Oryctolagus cuniculus: one gene and its partners. The protein of the gene in region 1 interacts with the protein of each later gene in a biochemical or structural test. Links are inferred from orthologs where the notes say so. Each region holds a gene or a part of one and is shown on either strand. Other genes may lie near its edges.

Region 1 (7,271 bases):
CAACATACCAGTACAATTTTCTTTAAAAGGCTCACATATTTTAATACCCAAGCACTTTTTAAATTGCCATCACTACTGGAATCTAGAAACAATATTAATTTAAAAAAACTGTATCTCCTGCAACTTCTTGAATTGGTCTTTTATTGATAGTATATTTATAAGATACTATAGGTTTAGCTAACTATAAAGCCATGTTAACAGAAAATAATATTTATGCTTTATCTTTGTTTTATATATTTTATTGCAGTGACAGGCTTAATATATAAATAATAATAATAATAATATATAAATAAAAATGATGCCACCATTAATTTCTATTTGAGAAATGTTTCTTATATATTTTTTCCCAATATATATAATTTTAGTTAAGTAATTATCACATTGTGAGAAACCTAAAAAATCAATGATAGTGAAAAACTTTTCAGTAGATCTGGATTATTTTCACCTCCATTTTAATATCTTAAATCTCTTTTTATTTTAATACTATTTTGTAAGTCAATTCAGGCATCTCACTTGTTTTGATAGGTTTAAACTTTAGGATCCACTCAATCATACCTCTTTACTATATTCAAGAAAACCAGTATTGATACCAATCAATGACTTTTCTACTTAACAATAAGCTGTCCAGTATTTAAGTCTGTCTTATTTCCCTCATATTAGAAGAGCAACAAAAGACTATTCAGAGTATATTTTGGCCAATTAATAGTTGTTTTATATAACAATCTTCAGACCAACAGACATGTTACTGAAGAGCATTATTCTGTTAAAACTTAGCCAAATTCTGCTTTATTAGATTCGTAGCTTTAACATATATTTACTTATAATTAATCTTAATCTTCATATTTCTCTTATTCAATAGTCAACTGCAAGACTGGCATCTGTCCACTTTTCCCCCCAGCAATATTAGATTCCGGTTTTCATGGGCACCTTTTCCTTCTAATACAGTATGTATACTATTGTAATCATGAACAACAGAAAAAAGGACTTTGTAATCCTGTTGGGCTCCAGTGATGGCTCTTGTACACAGTGCACTGAGAAAATTATAAATAATTGTTTCCATCATCTCTTTTTTAAAGTGTATGGCTTAATATCTGCTTCACACTGTTATTGAGAAGCTGTAGTGAGAAAGCACGATATTAAATGCCTGGCACACAGTGAATGCTCTGTTCGAGAAAGGGCTTGCTTCCTATAGGACCACCATTCTCTGCCTGAAGAACAGACATGAGACTAAATGAGGAACCTCTCCTGATAGCTCCAGTGGAGTATAGCCAGTTTTGTGCCTTCTAGTGGTTCTGCGAAGAGTTTTTGTTCTCCAGAACACAGCCAAGAGGCAGACGTGATTATGAAGACTGTTCACCTATTTGTGGGGTGGGATATAAGCAAACAGCACAGTAAATCCTCCTCTGACTTATTCCTATTAATTGCAGTCAATGCTGCTAATTAAGGTGGTAGAACCAACAAGGAATAGGTTACACCCTGAGAAAACTGCAGGTAAACTACTTACAGAGGGTTTTTAAAACTGGCTGTAATCTCAAATTTTAAAGTGACTCATCCTGTTTCTCCATAGGACTTCCTTTTCAGGAATTTCAAACAGCCATTCCTAACCATCTTTTCCTGAGGTGATTTATTTTTCCTTTGGGCCTGAGTTATTTGTTGGAAGTCCTTTTCTTTCACGTGCTAGAGCAGGACTCTGCAGGAATTTTCTGAGCTCTTCAGTTAAGTGAACTCAGATTATTTTCACAAAGTAGAAAGCAATGCTGGATGGCTTCACTGCCCCATCAGTTATAAGGATCAAGTAGGTGCAAAAAATGGCAAAATGTAAAATTCTTCACAAAGAATAAAGAATCACGCACAGCTAATCCTTTAACAAATATAAACAAATGTCTTTTATCATATTGGCACTTATAGTGATATTCCTACTATGAACTCTGAGTTTTTATATTATATACAAAGACCCACATAATTTACTATTTGTGTATTTCACTGTTCAAACAGATGTGATAGCAACATAACAGCTGCCAAAGTAACTAAAATATTCCTAAGGTCCTATTTATTGTCCTGTAGAAAATGACAGTCTGAAGATCAATAGTATACACAATATAATCTTTGAGTTGCTAACATGGAACTCAATACATACAATATTAAAACAAAGGTATCCCTGCTTTAAGATTCTGATCACAGAGCAGATTCTGAAACAAAGACTCCAACAACTGACAAGTCAATTAGTGACAGGTTAATAAAAAACACCTAAGGCTGAATACCCTAAGCAGAGTCAAAGACAAAATCTGCAGAGCATTCACCATATAACCACTTCCAATTATTCATATGGAAACATGGCCTTTAAATGAGAGTATTCTGATGCCAGGATGAAGAGGAAGAGGATTTCCACTTTTTTTTTCTTCTAATTTTGAAGCTGCTTCTCTGGACTTTCTAAGTTTTTGCTGTCCTCAGAGGATTCTTGTTTGGCCATTGTTGTATCACTGGTTCCAGAAGCCTCCAGTAGCCTGTCATCACCATCATAGATAATGTCTTCTGGATTTGGAGGTGGAGGGCAGAATTCTTCACCTGGAAAGATCTCCTGAAAAAGTGTTTCGGCTTGCTTGACTGCATGCTCATTTCCCAGGCCACAGTCAGGCCCAGAGCAGACATAAACATTGGAAGGTAAGCCATCATAGGAGCCTCTGCTGACTACTGAGGAATCTCTCATGTTAAAATAAAGAGCCCACAAGAGTCTTGGTTTTGTAGGCCCTTCCTTTTGCATTTCTGTTTCAGCATAAGGAGTGAATAATTTCTGCGTCACTGGTTCTAGGTCTTCTCGTGCCGTTTTTGAAGATGGACACGTTAGATGTACCAGATATGTGTCTTTCATGCATGTCATAGTTGAAGAACATAATTCTGTGACCCGGACAGAACAAGTCTGTGCTTCCACTGGAGGCACTATCAAAATGGAAATCTGCTGATCTGAATTTGTCTTTAGTAGAGACTGATCTGTGATGAGCACTGCCCTTGAGATTTGCTTATACTGCACATTTGAGCATGTTTCCTCAGAAAGGTAACTATCCTCCATGATAAAATACTTAGCATTTATTCTTTGACCAAAGTGATCTATAATGGCTTTACATCTTCCAGATTCTTTGTCAACTACAAGACACTGTACTTTATGACGAAGACAGTAGATTCCACCAAAAACTGCACACATTCTGCAGAAACACTGGGGGATTTCACCTTGACCATACACAGGAAATAAAAAGGGAGTGTTGCCGAACCGTCCAAGACACTGAAGAAAAATTTTTGTTGCTTTAAGACCATCTAATGTAGTACATGAGGTTTCTGATGTCATTGCAATTGAATGTAGCACAAAATGTTGGAGGTTGGGGGTTAGTTTTTTAGCTTTCAAGTACTCTGAAAATGAACATTGTTTGAAATCTTGGTATTCATCAGGATGCTGCTCATAGTCTAGACAGAAGGTAAGAAATTTCATTAACATCCTCTTTTCAACCATGGTGAGTTCTTTGCTATTAAAGACATCTGCTCTAGAACAAGGAACCTGTTCCACCTTCCCTTCCCGATATGCAAGAATCCTGGTGACATTTTTAAATTCAGCATAACGACTAACATTGGATTTGATTAAAAGATCAATTAAGGATCCTTGAGAATATAGCAGCTTTGACACCAAATCAATATTAAATCTCCTCTCTTCTTTAATTATTTGAGAATAAGTAGTCCTATTTCTCTTTTGTTGGTCAGTATTGTCTTCTTTAGGGTTGTTTTCATCTTCATCTCCATCTGAAACAGTGTGTGCAGAAGTTTTGTCTCCACAATACTTTTCTTTCTCCAGTGATTCTTCTATATCAGTTACTTCAAGTGAAATCTCTGTTTCATTTTTTTGAGTGTGTTTTGCAGACATTTCATAGTGAGCAAAGTCTGATGAGTGCCTTTCTTTGGGGAAGGCTGCAGAATTCAGAGGTTCTGTGAGGGTACTAGATGCCGCTGAGGAAGGATTTTTTGGCACAGCACCAATGTCTTCAACACTGTCCTCCATATCTTGACTGGCGTAACAAAAAACTTCTGTATGTTGGATGCTTTTATCCTTCTTGCAAAGAGGGATGGCTTCTTCTGTTTCATGGATTGAGTCTTGCCATGTAGCAATACTTTCTTCCCCAATGTCACTGTTTTGTTGATACTCATTCAGCCAGGATAGTAATCCAGAAAAGCTGAAACTAGCCCAGTTTCCTCCATAATAACTTCTTGAATCAAGATGCAGAACCCTCTGACCACTTCTTGCACATGCAGCTGCAAGGATAGACTCTGGCAAACCTGTCCCTATTACAACCACATCAAACTCTGTGGGGAGACTGTGCGCCATCCTAGGAGGAAACGTCTGCTGACAACTGCTGATGGAGGAAATGCATATGAATATAGGCTGAGGGCTCAGCTGAGATGTGATCGTGCTGAAATAAAATCTCTGCTTGTGATGTTCCAGCTTATCTCAGAAGCACTGAAGCTGCAGGTCCTAGCTGTTTAACGGTTACCCTTTTAAAGTATTTTTTTATAAGTCAGCAGCATAAAAACATGATAAAGTACATTTATTCACATCTGAGAATACTAAAACGGATGTGTAGTTTTCATTTCTGCATTTCACCTTAGCAGTAAATGTCAAAATGCATCACATATGCATTTGTGACTGGAACTCTTCTCTGAAAGAAGAAAATTCAAGAAAAAAAAAGAATACAATTGAAAACAATATAAAAGTAATTTCATGCAACAGCAATTACAAGCCATTGGAGCCTGACTTCTTATTTGGATATAAACTTCTACTAAAGCAAGTCATTAAATTCTTTCTCATTTTTTTTAGTCCCTTGAAAATGAATAATGGAGATATAACCCCCCCAAATCAGGCAATATAATATAAAGAATGGTCATAATGTTTCACAATAAAGAATAATTAACATAATACAATTTCACAGCTTTTAGAAAATATTTGAATAAAACTATATACAGCTGTAAGTTCAGACTAAAAGAAATGTGTGCCTCCTCTGTATTTATGGGAACAGACAATATACTATGCACAACATCATGATTAGGAATATTTCTATGACCAGGATAGTTTGTGAATGATTCCAGAACAGCCAAATAGAAGACCTTTCCATACCCCACTACCCTTAGGATCTCATGGTAGCAGTTAACAAGTCAGATTATTACAAAAAGGATTATTGATTCAGTTAAAAGACTAGCATTTGAAAACATTCAGGTGTGTACAAGAAAAGGCATACTGATGGGGAAAATATCTAAAAAATGTGAATCTCCATATGCATATGTGTGTTTTGTAAGTGTAAAGTATAAAGGAAAATTGGTTACTGGCTTAGTATATCAAGCATCTTAACATAAGTAAGACTTCTAACATTTGAACAGGGTAGTGTTTTGCATTTTGCCAGACTGCCTCCACAATCCCTAAATCTCTGTAACCCAACAAAAAGGTCTTGAGTATCTCCTGCCAAGATGACCCATGTTGTTTGCTATACTTACTATTCAAAGGGTAGTGAACAAAGGCATAATGTTGGCTAAATGCCACATGCAGAAAAAAAGGTGTATGTGATTCCAGGGTGTAGCCAGAGGGAGAATAATGAAGAAACTGAAGGGCATACCCACCTGGAAGTCTTTAACATAAAGCACTACACACACCACATTGCTAACCTTTCTATCGTTCATCAATGCAGAGTATTAGTGAGGGTTCTCTGACCTCTGATTTTTGCTGTTACCAAATCTACTGAAATCTAGATCAATATAAGCTGCATCTTGCTGATGCTAAGATGACTAATTACTCTGAATACTGATAAAATAAGTCATTCAATGGGAACTTACATTAAGTTGACTAGGTCACTAACCTCACTGGTCAGTTTAAATGAAAACGATAATCCTCATAGTCCTGTCTAGTGAGGACCTCTGACTAAAAGATAATTTTCAGCGTTCCCTGAGAAGCCACGATCTGAGCACAAAATAAGCCAGTTGCCTGGTCTGCTCATGTAAATACGTTAGTGTGTCTGAATTACTTCTTCGGCCTTCCTCAGCAGGGTGTGAAGATGGAGATAGAATCTATGATGTTACCTGAAGAAGTGTGACCATCTTCTTGGCTTAGAAAACACAGAGCTGAGGGTGGGATAAAGCAGGGAAAATACAGGTCACAACCACTAACATTAGGTACTTTCTAGCCTACAGATATCAAAAGTCTTATCAAAATACAAAGGAAGTGGATGGCCTTAAAGAACAGGGAGCTCAAGTACCCCATAACAGAGAAAACCAACGCTGTAGAGATTAACTCATTCTTATGTCACGAAGTCAATGATCTTCCCATTAAAGAGGGCAGCCTCTCCAAAAGCCTCTGCAGCATTTCTTTTATTTCTGCCACACCTGCAGTACTCCACAACTAGTTGCTTGCTTGGTTGGTTCTTGCTCAGAGATAACTGGGGAAGTGAAGCACCTTTCGTTTCTTCATCCTTAACCCTAACCTAGAAGCACAATCCTTGGAATTTACTCCAGGCAAAGAAATTTTTTATCTTTGCTAAGAACATGTTGAGCTCCACAAAAACCTCATTACTGACCTGTCTTAAATAAGACTCTGATCCTCTTAGCCAGGATTTTTAACCTCTAATTTAAAAACAGAGGACAAAGTGAAAGCACTAGCTAAATGTCCCCAAGAAACAGAGCAGCCTTTAGGTGAAATTCCATGTGCTAGCTTCTAGCAGTCTTAGAAAATCATTTCTGATTGGGATAGGGCCCCAGCAAGGATGGCAAGGGAGAAGAGACAGGAGGGTGAGATCTGCAGAGGAAAGGGATGAAGAGGGTGGGTGGCAATGCTTATTGAAAACTCAATACAGTCTTGTTTTCAAACTCCTGGGCACAGATATACAATTTCCCACCACAGAAAAGGTGCTTCACAAAACAAGAACTTTCATGTCTATGAAAAAAACAACTGTTATCCTCCAAAAGGAGCATCCCCCATACTTTAGACACAGACTTAAAACATGTTCCTTAAAGCTTGGCCCTGCCTAAAAAGTTGCCTGGTATTTTTTAATGAAAATAAAAAATATAATCACACAGCCATCTACATTACTGCCTACATACAGTGAGAGCTGTCTCCCCATGTTTCAAATCTTTGTACAAATGAAATACTCAGATTCATGCTCATTGGAGCGGAAAAGAAAATACTGGAAGAAATGTAATCATAGATAGTATCTGAGATTTCCTTCAAAAAGCAAAATTAAATCATTATG
Region 2 (7,344 bases), on another chromosome or scaffold:
ATTTACTTATTTGAAGTCAGAGTTAGAGAGGGAGATCTTCTGCCTGCTGGTTCACTCTTTTTTTTTTTTTTTTAAGATTTATTTATTTATTTGAAAGTCAAGAGTTACACAGAGAGAGGAGAGACAGACACAGAGATCTTTCATCTTGTGAGCTGCTGGTTCACTCCCCAATTGGCCGCAATCACAGGAACTGCGCCGATCCGAAGCCAGGAGCTTCTTCCGGGTCTCCCACGTGGGTGCAGGGGCCAAAGCACTTGGGCCATCTTCTACTGCTTTCCCAGGCCATAGCATAGAGCTGAATGGGAAGTGGAGCAGCCGGGACTCGAACCAGCGCAGGCAGTGGCCTTACCCACTATGCCACAGCACCAGTCCCCTGGTTCACTCCTAAGCTGGCAGCAACAGCTAAGGTTGGGCCAGGCCAAAGCTAGGAGCCAGGAGCTTCTTCCAAGTCTTCTACATGGGTGGCAGGGGCCCAAGGACTTGGGCCATCTTCCGCTGCTTTCCCAGGCACACTAGCAGAGAACTGGATAGGAAATGGAACAGCAGGGACTTGAACCAGCGCCTGCATGGGATGCCATGGTGGCAGCCAGTGGCTTTACCCACTGCACCACAATGCCAGACACCAAACACTTAAGTTTTTAAAAAAGGATTTACATGAAACAGAGCACTGGTCAATTTAAAAAGTCAAACCATGCCAAAAAAGAAAGAAGTTTTTAGACTGAAAAAAATTTGAAATCCTAGAATCATATTTTTAAAAGGGGGAGGAGGTGTGTGCTAAAAACAACTTAATTATTTTAAGTGTTTCGCATTACAGGACTACAGCTGATCCAAATAGACTGCTGTATTTCTTCTTCTTGGTTTACTGGCATACTCAAGATAAATACACACGCATTGTTCTTAAAACATTACTTAAAGATGAGAGAGCCAAAATTATTTTTTTAACACTAAAAAAAAGCACTAGAAGCCAAGGGATTATGAAAAATGCTTCTGGTATGAGAATAATGTTAAGCATTTCTTAACCAGCATGCTGAAATAAGCACTGCCTGCTTCACCACATCACTAAAAAAAAAAAAAAAAAAAAAAAAAACTTCAGATTTCCATAAAAAACAAAGTTCTACTTTTTCCATACTTCAGACTGCACTTCCAATTGCTTGCTTTCGTTTGTAGTTGATAGGAAAATCATCCAAACTTTCTACCTTAATGTTAACCGTGGGTAGGTCATTTCTCCCAAACTGGCTTGATAAAGGAAAGCAGTCAAAAGGATGGCTTAAAATTCAACTACTGATGTATTTTTCCCCCTCACCCCTAAAATAAAAACTTAAATATTGTAAAGAACATTCAGAAATATAGCTACCAACAGGTAATCTTATGTCAGCCAATAAACATCTTCCAAATTCAGCAACATCCTACAGCAGATTTTTAGGTTTTTAAAAGGAACAAGATAAATTAGACAACAATCCATAGCAAGCTAAGAAATATCTGGGAGGATACATTAACTAATGAACCATTCTGTAATCCTGGAATAAGGGAAGACATTCATCCATTAAAAGTGTTAATTAAGAGAAAGCATAAGATTTTAAAGTTTAGAACAAGGTGTTAAAGAAAATGTATTCAATAATAAGGAATGCTTTCTTTTTTTGTTTTCCAATTACTCTTACAATGTTAAACTTCGTTAAAGACAAAAAGAGATCAATGAAGTCAGATTGGTAAAAAAAAAATCTGATTATTGGTTGCCCCCGATCTTCCCTAAAATAGCCATCTTTTACTATCACCCTAAGATATTTTCATTAACACTTTTGCAAAGGTTTTCCCAAACTACTGGACTATTTTAATAGACAGTCCAGAATGCAAATACAGTAGGCTAGATATTGGCAAACAAGATGCCAGAAAAAAATATAAAAAGATTTTCTAAGTTTGACTCTGTTGAGATCATTAATCTAAAGTTCTTAAAAGAAAGGATGATCTGGCACTACACTTACTTAAATTCTATAGTCCTTGCCATTTATTGGCCATCCTTCCTTTTTGCCCCTGGAAAAATCCTCCTCGATCCTTTCTGCTCTTCCAAATCTCACTGCTAATAACATCCTTACAGGTTTCTTTTCCAGAGTCTTCCAAAACCCAATGGGCAAGCCAAAGTCACTACATTCCTCTGAAATCCTGTTGCTCCAATCTATACTGCATATTTGGAACTTGCTATATCTACTGACATTTGATATGCATAAAATCTACATTCTAAAAAAAAAAATCTACATTCTATATTCCATTTATAAGTTCCTTGGGGAACTTATAAAACCATAGCACTGTTAAACCCTAGCACTATCAGAATGCCTTACAGGAAAATGATTTCTACCTCCAAAAGAATGTTCTTACCATTTTCCAAATTCGTCTGGAAGTATCTGAATCTCACCACTACATTGGTAAGGATGACTCCTATTTATCCTATTTTACAAAAGGAGAAACAAATTCTGAAGCTGAGTAATTTCTCAAAATCTCATTCAACTAATTAATTTTCAAGGTCTATTTATAGTACTAAACATATGTAGCAAATATAGGAACCTCCCTGAACAGCAGAGGTTTAAAAAATCTCCATATAGTGGCAAATCCAAAAATTCATGTTCTTTACTGCTTCCAGGATAAACACTAATTAGGAACCTTACATCAACTCGGGCTAACCACGTAACACCAACTTTGTCCTCGGAGCCCTTGATAAAGAAAAAATTGCCAACATAGCAAATTTTTCAAGTAAGAAATTCTAGTAAAATCGTATAGCTACTGTTTAGTACGAAAAGATATTTCAGCATCAAACCACAATATTACAAAATTTGAAGTCAGAATGCGTTTTGCAACAGTCATGTGACACACACATGACAGTCAGCTAAACTGAAGAGTTGACTTTTCAGGGGGATATGTCTACCAGTAACTGACCAAAGCAAAAAATAAAAAAACTTTTGGGACAAATACTAATTTTTGCTTTTAGAAATCCTCCTGAAAAGGTTTCCGGCGCTGAAGAATACCAATTAAATTATCAACTTTTCATTAATTTACATATATGTAAACTGTAGGAAGTGTTTTTTCTTAAGGGCCATAAAGAACTCAACTAAACTCTTCCCCAAGGCAAGTGAACACTAGTTCCCAGGAAAAGTGCCAGGTGTGTCACATCTGTTGTGGTGACCTCTTGAGTAAGCAAGGAAAAGAAATGCATTAACTTTTCATGACACGTCATGGAAGCTCATTCCCTATCTACAAGCATTCAAGTAGGTAATCCAAAACCTACACGATCTACCATAGGTCCCACTCGTTTCTCTTTCAACTTGACAGTAGTCCTTGTCCAATTCGGTAGTACCCTTGGTTTTAGTTCTGTTTTTTTTTTTTCTCCCTCCCTTGACCTATAGAAGACAAAATGACTTAGGTGTCCTCTAACAACAAATTCTCCCAAATGTCCAGGGCTTTGGGAGGGCGATGGACCAGGCAAGTTCTTAAAGAACTCCTCCAGGAGATAACTCCAAACGAGAACTAAGCATTTTAAATCGCTGCTCACCATCTCTCCGCTCCTTGCCCTCAATCCCACGCAGTCCCGAGAAGCATCCATATTACCTGCAACCTGGCGGGGAGGGTGGCACGACAGGGAACCAGCAAGCTCAGGCTTTACAAGTAAAGCTGGTTTCCAACCCGGCGATCCTGACAGCTCCGCAGAGCGCGGGCGCGGGGTCTGACAGTGCCCTCTGGGGGAGCTCTCCCACCCTTCTCCTCCCCTTAAAAACAAATGCCCCTTCCAAAGTTACTGCCCCCGGAGGAAGCTGACCCTTCAGGCCGCTCCGCCACCGGACTGCCCAACGCCCCAAGGCCCTCCGCAGCGGCCCGGCACTCAGGCCCTGAGGCGGACCCGGCCGAGGCCCGGGCCGCTCACCTCTCCGGCCGACCCCTCCCCCCGGCCGCCCCTCCGCCGTCAGACAATGGGGCCCGACTCCCGGCCTCAAGCCTCTAAGGCCCCGTCACCCTTGCCTCCCTCGGGCCAATGCCCGCGCCCCTGCCCCAGCCCTCCTCGCCCCGCTTAAGCTTCCCAAGCTGGCCCACCGACCCAGCCGACCGGTGTTCTCCTGCACTCACTATTCGGGATTCATGCTGGACATGTCACTGCAGCTGCCGCCGCCGCCACCGCCGCCCTTGCTGCCGCAGCCGCCGCCCTGACTCTCCGCGCCACGGGTAATCGAAGGAAAGGAATGAGATGGGCTGTTCCGGGAGAGCAAACGTCTTCCCCCGCTCCGTCCCCTTAGAACACAATCAGCAGCCGCCGCCACTCAGCTATCGCTTCCACCCAAAATGGCCGCCGGCGAACCAGGAAATAGGGAAGCCTCGGACCAAGGGGTCTTTACACGGCCCGGAGGGCGGCCTCGGCGCGTGGCATGCCGGGAAGGAGAGTCGCGAGCGCAGCTACACGCGCAGAAGACCGACGGTGCGGCAAGGCGGCCGGGACTCCGCTTCCCGCCAAGCCCCGCGACTCTGGTGCATGCGTACTTGTGCGGTTGTCGCCCGCTCCATTCCCCACTCCCTCACCCCCCACCCTCCGCCCCTCCCTGCTCCCCTCCCCGTTGACTCGCTGGCTAGGACTTCGCTCGGACTCCCCCTAGCGGATTGGCTAAGGCCGAGAGGCCCCGGTGATGTCACCAGTGAGACGTGGCAGCCGGGCGAGTCAGCGCCCCACGGGGGAGGGGGTGGGAAGAGGCAGAGGGCGGTACCGGCCGGGGCGGAGGATGGGGGTCACGGTGGGACCGCGGGGCGGGAGGGGTCTGGCCTGGTGGGACGGCCCGAGCGTGGGGGAAGGGGCGCGCGCCTGGCGGCCCCTGAGCCCCGCGCGGTTCTCGCAGGCCCGACGGGCTTGAGGCCTGCCCTTCGCCGCTGGTCCGAGGACGTAGGCTCAGAGGGCGGCGGGAAAGTCGGGGGCCTCTGCCGAGGACTTCCGGCGCCCTGGACTGCGCGCAGCCCTCTTCACTCACCCGACCCCACCCGGGTTCGGTCACTACCGTTTTCTTTTTGATTTTTACAGTCCTGGCCCAGCCCCACTCTTGTCATGTCACCTCAGCCTGGACATTTCAGTTGCCTGCAAGTGGACTATGCCCCAGCCCATTCGCACACAGCGCTTCCACCGTGACCCCACAACCTTCAAGGGCTCCACAGCCAGGGGTGGGACACAGCCCAGGCATGGCCTAAGAGTTGAGTCTACCTGCTCTCGGCCCAGCCTTCAGGCTGAATTGTTCTGCCTCTTTAAAAGTTGCCACTTAATTCTGAGCAAGATTGGAAAGTAATAAGCGATAAAAACGTACAATTCATCACTATATAGTGCCCACAGACTCCAGGAGTAATACTAACACATAAAAAAAAAAAAAAAAAACAACCTTATGGGCTTACCAGCTCTCTTTAATCAGCTCAGGAATTTAAATCTCCACTAAACTTTAACACATTATCTTGCTTGGGTTATTTAATTACAAAGGGCATAGTATAACACATTGTCCAAAGTTTATCTTCCAACTGGTTCTAAGAACCAAGAAAATTATCTCCTGAGACTTTAAGTGATTGCAAAATCACTTAAAACTCCTATGGCACCAAAATATGGGAAGAAAGTAATTCTTCACTTCTACCCATGTACCAACTACACTCCTAACCCCCAAATCCCACCATGCACCTTAGTTGATAGCCTCATCAAACAGTCAGCTAGAGTTCCTGTATATGATGTTGATTTCTGAATTGAACATGGTCACCACTCCAGGAAAAGGACCCTGAATGGATTAAAGAATGTTTCTTACCCTGGACTCTAAAATCCTAGACCCTTCCTGCTTACTGTGATTTCACTGAGTAAAAACACAAATGTGCACAAGCACTCATACTGAGCTAAAAATTCAACCTTTCATCTATTCCAGAGATACACTATTTCCCCACTTTCTGTAACTATTTCCTAATCCAACAAAGAATTACCTCCTAAGTTTTAACCCAAGTGAGAGGATACTATGTGAATTAAATTAAAAAATGTAAAGCATGTGGTACAATGACTTTGGAGTACCTGGTAAACGTTAATAACTTTCTGGAACAGGCATTTGGTACAATGTTTGAGTTGCACATGTCTCACATTGAAGTACCTGGTACAAGTCCCAGCTCCGCTTCCCATTCCAGCTGCCTGCAATATCATGCTTTGAAAAAATTTTACAGTGCCAGCACTGTGGCGCAGTGGGTTAAAGCCCCAACCTACAGCGCCAGCGTCCCATATGGGCGCTGGTTGAGTCTGGCTGCTCCTCTTCCGATCCAGCTCTCTGCTATGGCCTGGGAAAGCAGTAGAAGGTGGCCCACATCCTTGGGCCCCTGCACCCATGTGGGAGACCTTGAGGAAGCTCCTGGCTCCTGGCCAGGATCAGCTCAGCTCTGGACGTTGTGGTCATTTAGGGAGTGAACCAGCAGAATGGAAGATCTCTCTCTCTCTCTCTCTCTCTCTCTCTCTCTGGCTCTGGCTCTGGCTCTACCTTTCTCTGTAACTCTGTCTTTCAAAGAAATAAAAAATAATTCTTTTAAAAAAAATTTTACTGGCCTTCGCTGTGGCATAGCTGGTAAACACCGCCTGTGGTGCTGACATCCCATATGGATGCTGGTTTGAGACCCAGCTGCCTCACTTCCAATCCAGCTCTCTGCTGTGGCCTGAGAAAGCAGTAGAAGATGGCCCAAGTCCTTGGGCCCCTGCACCCATGTGGGAGACCCAGAGAAGGCTCCTGGCTTCTGGTTTTGGATTGGGGCAGCTCTGGCCATTGCAGCCAACTGGAGATTGAACCATTGGATGGGAGACCTCTCTCTCTCTCTCTGTGCCTCTCCTTCTCTCTCTGTGTAACTCTGCCTTTCAAATAAATGGATAAATCTTTTTTAAAAATTTACTGACTCAAATTTTAATATACTTCATATTTAGGCATATAGGAGCCTGTACTTTTTTTTTTTTTGACAGGCAGAGTGGATAGTGAGTGAGAGAGACAGAGAGAAAGGTCTTCCTTTGCCGTTGGTTCACCCTCCAATGGCCGCCACGGTGGTGCGCTGTGGCTGGCGCACCGCGCTGATCTGAAGGCAGGAGCCAGGTGCTTCTTCCTGGTCTCCCATGGGGTGCAAGGCCCAAGCACTTGGGCCATCCTCCACTGCCTTCCTGGGCCACAGCAGAGAGTTGGCCTGGAAGAGGGGCAACCAGGAAAGAATCCAGCACCCTGACCGGGACTAGAACCTGGTGTGCCGGCGCCGCTAGGTGGAGGATTAGCCGCGGCGCCGGCCTAAATAATCTTTTTAAAAAATACTCAGAACCATATATCCAAAAGGGTAAAT
Region 3 (7,397 bases), on another chromosome or scaffold:
GTGGCATGAACCCAAGTACTTATGCATCACTTGCTGTCTCCCGTGGTGTGCATTTTCATGAAGCTAGATCAGCAACAGACCAGAGACTCAGTCCTTCTGATATGAGATGGTAGCGTCCCAAGAGGTATCTTAACCAATGGGCTACAATATTCACCTCTCACTATCTTTTTTAAAAGTAACAATTTAAAGTTGTAATGTGAGCCTAAAATCAGTCTGTAATCTTCAGGTTTTTTTTTTTTTTTAAACTAACCTTTATCACAGCCTCAACTTTGTGCCAGGTAGTGTTTTAGTACTTCAGCACAGCCACTCTACAACCTTTTAGTTAGTTACTATTACAATCTTTATAAAGGAGGAAACAGAGGCATAGAGAAGTAACATGATTGAGGTCACATACTTACTGTGACAGATTTGAGACACAGATGAGTCTCAAAGCAAGGCAACCTGAGAGGTGATTCTAGAATTCAGGATTAAATACTTGGGTTAAAATTGTTTTTTTTGGGGGGGGGCTGGTGCTGTGACATAGCAAGTGAAACTGCTGCCTGTAGTGACAGCATCCCATATGGGTACCGGTTTGAGTCCCAGCCTGCTCCATTTCTGATCCAGCTCTTTGTTCTGGCTTGGGAAAGCAGTGGAAGATGGCCCAAGTCCTTTGGCCCCTGCACTTCCGTAGCAGACCCGGAAGAAGCTTCTGACTCCTGGCTCCGGATTGGTGCAGCTCTGGCCATTGCCACTAATTGGGGAGCGAACCAGTGGATGGAAGACCTCTCTCTCTCTCTCTCTGCCTCTCCTTCTCTCTATATAACTCTTTCAAATAAATAAATAAATCTTAAAAAAAAATTGTGGGAAATTAATAAACAGAAAGCTCTTAGATTCCCACAATTTATAGTTATTTGAAAATCTGTTATTGCATGCTTTTCATTCATGGTAATTTTAGGGCAAACATTTTAAGGAGCCCAGTGCTGTATGTGCAGAGGCTGAAAGATGTAAAACTATCCTCACATACCATTCACAGAAATGCTAATGGCTATTCTCTAATGTGGTGCAACTATTAGTGACTTATTTACTAATACTACCTTTTTTTTGTAGTTTTTGGAATTACAATATATGCCATTATTTTCTATTAAACAACACATTTGGAGAAAACTAGCCTGAAGGCAAATTCTTTTCTTACCAGTATCTAAAAGTGCTCATTTTTTTTCTTTCTTTTTTTAAGATTTATTTGAAAGGCTCAGTTAGAGAGAGGGAGAGACAGAGACAGGTCTTCCATCTGCTGGTTCACTCCCCCAAATGGCCACAACTGAAGCCAGGAGCCAGAAAAGCTTCTTCCAGGTCTCCCACGTGGGTACAGGGGCCCAAGCACTTGAGCCATCCTCCCAGCTTTCCCAGCAGGGAGCTGGATGGGAAGTGCAGCAACCAGGAATTGAACAGGCACCCATATGGGATGCTGGCACTGAAGGTGGCAGCTTACCTGCTACATCACAACCACAACCAAGGCTCCCAAATGTGCTAATTTTCAATTTCAAAGGAATTAGCAAATATTTGAAGAGCACTTTTCAACCTATTCACATCTTTAATAAAAATATGATTATATGCTTACTAATATACTAAATATGATTTCCTCTCTAAAAATGTAGCTATACTTCACTGAGTTACCTCATATAAGAAATTCGCCTTCCCTATAAAATTTTAGTTTTTATGAGACATATTATTGACAATTCACTAATATATTGATATCTTAATTCTAGACAATTAAGTTCACTTCTTGGCTTTATCTAAAACTCCAGCTTTGAAGCGTCTTTAACAGTACATGCTGATATATTTACAGATGAAATGATGTTTAAGCTGCTTCCAAACATAAGGTACAGGGGCTGGCACTGTGACATAGAGGATAAAGCTGCCGCCTGCAGTGCTGGCATCTCATACAGGTGCTGGTTCGAGTCCAGGCTGCTCCACTTCTGATTCTGCTCTCTGCTATGAACTGGGAAACCAGCAGAAGATGGCCCAAGTCCTTGGGCCCCTGAACCCTCATGGGAGACCAGGAAGAAGCTCCCGGCTCCTGGCTTTGAGTCAGCGCAGCTTAGGCTGTTGCAGCCATCTGGGGAGTGGACGAGCGGATGGAAGACCTCTCTCGATCTCTCCTCTCCTCTCTCTGTGTAACTCTTTCAAATAAATAAATCTTAAAAACAAACGAACACACACCATAAGGTACAAATAAAACTACTTCCCCATACTGTCCCAAACACAGTAAACTTGGGAGTTTAATCCTGGTAGTACCAATTTCTGTCTGGGCCAATTTTTTAATTTTCAAACTACATAATTTGCATAGTTGCCAGTTAATCACGTGATACAATATATATAATCTCTAATACAGTACCTATCATACAGCAGGGTTTGAATGGACAACTAAAGTGGCCCTTTGGTTACATGTCAAACACCAATAGAATGTCGTATAGGCAGAAAACGCACCAATTCGCTTTCAGGAATAAACATAGTTGAAACACTTCCCAACAGCCTCTTATCTACAAAACTGCTGATCATTTATCAAGGATACCATGTTCTGAATTTCTACAGTACTTCTGAAAATTTAGGGAAAACACCAGACACCCATAAAAAAGTCAAGCAAAATTGTGATTTACGTTTGCCTTCTAAGTTTTGAAGCCACTGAATCCTTATGCTACAAGGATCTCTAACAGGAAATAAATCAAAAACAGCGTAATATTAACAAGGTAAAAACTGCGTGCATTTACTCGTATTCACACTTACTGAGAATTCTCCCAGTTTTGCCAAACAAGGACTTTGCATTGTATGCATTTTTAAACTTGGAAATAACTAGTGTTCTGTAGTGCTCTTTTGCTCTTTTTAGGTCCTCTTTGATCAAAAAATCACTGGGTACTCATTCTGTGCCTGGCATGGTTACCAAGTACTTTGCTTACAACAACCCTAAGTGTTCAAACTATCTGCATTCGACAGTGAAAAGAACAAAGTTTCTGAGGAGTCCAGAATATTCCCGGAGTAGTGTAACAGTTTGATTCCACTTAAGCCAGGCCAAAAAAAATCAAATACGTAAACTAGGATGCTAGGAGCTTAAAAAGTCTGAAAGTCTCGAGGGGCTGACCAGTTCCCAGGGAAGACAGCATCAGGGCAGGTCTCCTGGTTTACCCACCAAGGGAGCTGTACGGCGGCCCAGTTACCTTTAATTTCCTTAAAGCTGCGGCTCGCCACCTGCCAGTCTCCAGAGCGGTTGTCTGGCTGAGCCTCCCAGCCCTTCCATTACCCATCTTTCGAAGGTAGGCGGAGCTCCCCAGATCCACACCTGCCCTAGGCCCCGGTCCCTGCTTGCAACACCTGAGCAGCTGAGAGCCGACTCCGGATCGCCCGAACAAACAGTACCCGCCAGGGCTCTGGGCCGTCCCGCCACCCTCCTCCCTTAAACCTGCACGGCTCTCCCTGGGACCCCCGGGCTGTCTGGAGAGGCCGGGCGGAACCACGGCCTCCGGTACTCTTTCCGCGGCGCCATCTTGAGAAGGGAAGAGGGTGACACCCGTCGGCTCCCTCACCCAGTCCCCAAATCGCGGTCTCCACCAGAACCCCTGGCGGCATGAGTCACCAGGGCTGGCAGGCCGACAGGCCCGGGTGCGGTAGCTCTGTGGTCCCGGAGACGGGCGCAAGTCGGGGAGGACGTGCTGGGGGCCCCGCCGCCCGCACAGCCGCGGGCAGGATGGAGACCGCGGCTCAGCCCAGCTCCAGACCCGCTCTGCACAGGGGAAGGCTGGTCTGGTTACCTGCGGCTGCGGCACGCGGGGCCGCGGCACCGCAGCTTGCTGGCGGCAGGGAGCAAGCGTGGCCCGAAGGACGGCAGCGAAGCGGAGGCTGTGGCGGCGACGGCGGCGTCTCCTCGCGTCGCTCGCCTCACACCGGACCGTGCGGGGCTGGAGCCGTGGTGCCGCCCCTGCCGGGCTCCGTCTCCGCCTCTCCGCGCTCCGCCTTTCTCTTTCCTTTCTCCTCCTCCGCCGCCGGCGCTCAAGTTCCGACGAATTCTTCCTCCTCCTCCTCCTCCCTCCTCCGCCTCCTCCCCTCAGGCCGGCCGCCGGCTCCTTCAAGAACCAAAACACAAACACTCAAGTCCCAACGCGGGAGCCACTTCCGCAGCCGGGCGCCGGCCCCGCCGCCACGTCGCTGCGCGCAGCGAGAGACGCCGCTTCGTCACTTCCGGTCGGCGCCAGTCCGTCCCGCCCCATCCGCTTCCCCGCCCCTCTCGAGGCGCACCCAGCCCTACCGGGGAGGGGGCGGGGCGCGGCGGGCTGTCACGTGGCTCTGCGCTGGGGCGGGTTTTACTGCCTTGTTGTGTCTGCGCCACGCCGGTTGCGCGCGACCGCGCCCTCGCAGCTCTTTTGTCAGCAGGGCGGAGGCCTCTGGGCTCCTGTGACTGGGGCTGGGTGGGGTATCCCGTGCTGCCCTGCTTTGGGGGAAGACCTAAGGCGCTTGAGTTTGTTGCGCCCAGCCCTTTGTTGTAAGTGTGAGCTCACAGTCCCCTCCATCCCGCCCCGCACCACCCCAATCCTGGTGACTTGGCCTAAGGGGTTTTTTTGAGGGAGGTTGTAACAGGAGACACGCCTACTGTGTCCCTGAGGCCAGGTGTGTCTGTAAAGGAAGGTAAGTCGTTTGTACCGCCGGCAGGAAGCTAGGACCCTCTGCATCCTAAAGCCGTCTTTAGTGGCAAAGCATTAAAACAGTTGGCACGTAAGAAGCGCTTACCTGTTTTTGGTAGGGTACATGTTAAGCAAACCTGTTGTTCAGATTTCCCTTTGGGAGTTACAGTACTAAACGTTTTACAGTAGGTACAAGTCTTTGTGAAACCAGCTTGTGAATCGTCGTGTGGGCACATTAACACTAACTTCCCAAACTGGTCCTCACCTCTGTGAACCTGGCTAGCACGTGGCCAGGCAGCTAAGAATCTTCAGGCATGGCTTTGGGATTAATGAATGAGGCGTGCCTGCTTTACAGGTAACGCGCTCGAAGCACAGAGATTGTGTAACTTGTACAAGACTGGGAATTCTTTTTAAAGATGTATTTATTCAAAAGGCAGAGTAACAATATTTCTTCCATCCACTGACTCACTTCCCAAATGGCTGCAATGGCAGGGCCTGGCCTATGCTGCCAAGAGGCTTCAGCTCCTTCCTGGTCTCGCAAGAGAGTATCAGGGGCTAAGTACTTGGGCCATCATCCCCTGCATTAGTAAATAAGGATTGGAAGCAGAGCAGCCTGGGTTCAGACTAGCTGTTCAAAAGGAGACTCAGCATTGCAAGTGGCAGCTTAACCTGCTGCCTGTGCCTTGACCCTCTGTGCTGCGTACAATACAATGCTGGCCCCAGAATGTCAGTTCTTATACAAAGTTCCGGTGAAAGACCACAACCTGAGCTGGTTGTTGCCCTCTGCAGCAGATCCTCTTAAGCATGCTTTGGTAAAATCCCAGATCATAGTTAGTTTCTGGAAAGCGTCTAAAACCAACCCCTCTCCCCTTGATCGTTGCTTTTTCCCCAGAATAAGGGATGCTTTGCAGTTTATAATTTACAACTTACAGTCCTGCTGTGAAGGCATGAATATTGTCTTTGGAGTGTACCTGGGCTAAGGTATCCTGTGAGTGCTCGGTCAACATTGTGCAATGAAGATGATTTGAACCCTTGACTAACTAGCTCGTCTTTCAGCACCTCCCCAGTTACTAGAAGAGCATAATATGGCATCTGTGAATGGTATCTGTGGCACTGCATCCTGAAAGGCCTGTTCTGATGTTGCATAAGTCATGGTCATAGCTCTAGGACGATCCCAGAAAGAATCAGGAAATAGGATATGTCATGTTAGTCTTGTCATGTCAATAGCATGTCCCAAGCCAAACCTATTCCACTGCAAGCCTGTTTGCATTGTTTATTCAGTGCCATTAAGAACCTCTGTCACCCAGACTTGGAACTACAGAATCATTTTCAGCTCTTCTTTTCTTCCCCATAAAGCACTGGCCATTCTGTTTCTAAAAATCCTCAAATCCCCAAATTTGAGAACTAATTCAAATGCCTGGACCATAGAAGCATTCTTGTTAAAAAAATTTTTTATTTATTTATTTGAAAGTCAGAGTTACACAGAAGAGAGGCAGAGAAAGAGAGAGAGAGTCTTCCATCCGGTGGTTCACTCCCCAACTGGCAGCAACAGCGGGAACTGTGCTGATCAGGAGCCAGGAGCTTCCTCTGGGTCTCCCAGGTGGGTTCAGGGGCCAAAGGTCCTGGGCCATTGTCTACTGCCTTCTTGGGCCATAGCAGAGAGCTGGATCTGAAGAGGAGCAGCTGGGACTAGAACCAGCGCCCATATGGGATGCCGGCGCTTCAGGCCAAGGCATTAACCCACTGAGCCACAGCGCCGCCCCGAAGCATTCTTAGAAGCAGAGTGAATGCATATTCCTTCCTTTTCAATCTACTCTTTACAGTTAGTCACTCAGCTAGTCAAAAATATTTGGTGGTTTTTCATTATTTGCTAAATTGAGTCTAAACTTCGATGCTAGTTCCAACCCATGTTTCTTTCATTCTGTTTCCATTGTCTTGTTCTCCCCAAACTCTTGCTTTATCCTCTGTCTCTCTGCTCTGTATATATTGCCTGCATGTTCCCAACTTGGCAAGTTGGATCATTTTATTCTCTCTTCCTTGAATGACATTACTGATCTCTCTTCTGGTGTCACCTCTACCAAGATGCCAGCTCCTCTGGACAGTCTTTGAGGATATTTCTGCTGGACTTGATCTTTTTTTCTCTAGTTTCACAGTCCTTTGCTTTACTCTATACTGGTGTTGCTAAAACTGCTTTATTTTATATACAGAATGCCTGGATTTTCCTCAGCCTTTCATTCCGCTTAGGATTATACAGGTTTTTAAGGACTGAGACCATCAGTCATCATTTCAGTTTCTCACAGAAGACCTTTCGTAGATATGCTCGGAACCAAAGTGTGAGTTTAATTATATTGAGAATTGTGAACATTTTACATAAGAAGGCAACACAACACATGAGGTACTAGAATTTATAAATTGCTGTGAACTCTGTCCTTCCATCTTCACTTTTCTCTACTTGTTTTTTCTTTTTTTAATGTTTATTTGAGAGGTAGAAAGAGAGAGGACTCTCATCCATTGGATCATCCCCCCGAATACTCAGCTGGCACTGGGAACTGGGAACACAATCCAAGATTCCAGTGTGGGTGGAAAGAAACCAATTACTTGAGGCATCGAGCACCTGCCTTAGAAGGAAGCTGAAGTCAGGAGGTGGAGCTGGGTTTTGAACCCAGGTACCATAATATAGAATGCAGTATCCTAACTGGCATCTTTACCACTAGGCTAAATGCCCATCCTCATTTTGCCTCTTTTTTT

Evidence for each region.
Region 2: the proteins of rab proteins geranylgeranyltransferase component A 2 (region 1) and RAB1A form a complex in vitro, tested with the Homo sapiens proteins (2 studies listed by BioGRID). The link is inferred for Oryctolagus cuniculus from reciprocal best matches to the Homo sapiens genes CHML and RAB1A.
Region 3: the proteins of rab proteins geranylgeranyltransferase component A 2 (region 1) and RAB5A form a complex in vitro, tested with the Homo sapiens proteins (2 studies listed by BioGRID). The link is inferred for Oryctolagus cuniculus from reciprocal best matches to the Homo sapiens genes CHML and RAB5A.

The regions. Positions count from the first base shown.
Region 1 is NC_091444.1:55,940,485-55,947,755, reverse strand, and holds the start of rab proteins geranylgeranyltransferase component A 2, read right to left. Parts: upstream 4,367-7,271; coding exon 2,402-4,366; 3' UTR 1-2,401. UniProt on the Homo sapiens protein: Substrate-binding subunit (component A) of the Rab geranylgeranyltransferase (GGTase) complex. Binds unprenylated Rab proteins and presents the substrate peptide to the catalytic component B.
Region 2 is NC_091433.1:137,615,989-137,623,332, reverse strand, and holds the start of RAB1A (ras-related protein Rab-1A), read right to left. Parts: upstream 4,557-7,344; 5' UTR 4,131-4,556; coding exon 4,108-4,130; intron 2,418-4,107; exon of another isoform or gene 2,294-2,417; intron 1-2,293. UniProt on the Homo sapiens protein: The small GTPases Rab are key regulators of intracellular membrane trafficking, from the formation of transport vesicles to their fusion with membranes.
Region 3 is NC_091435.1:155,564,862-155,572,258, reverse strand, and holds the start of RAB5A (ras-related protein Rab-5A), read right to left. Parts: upstream 4,292-7,397; 5' UTR 4,277-4,291; intron 4,230-4,276; exon of another isoform or gene 4,095-4,229; 5' UTR 3,783-4,094; intron 1-3,782. UniProt on the Homo sapiens protein: The small GTPases Rab are key regulators of intracellular membrane trafficking, from the formation of transport vesicles to their fusion with membranes.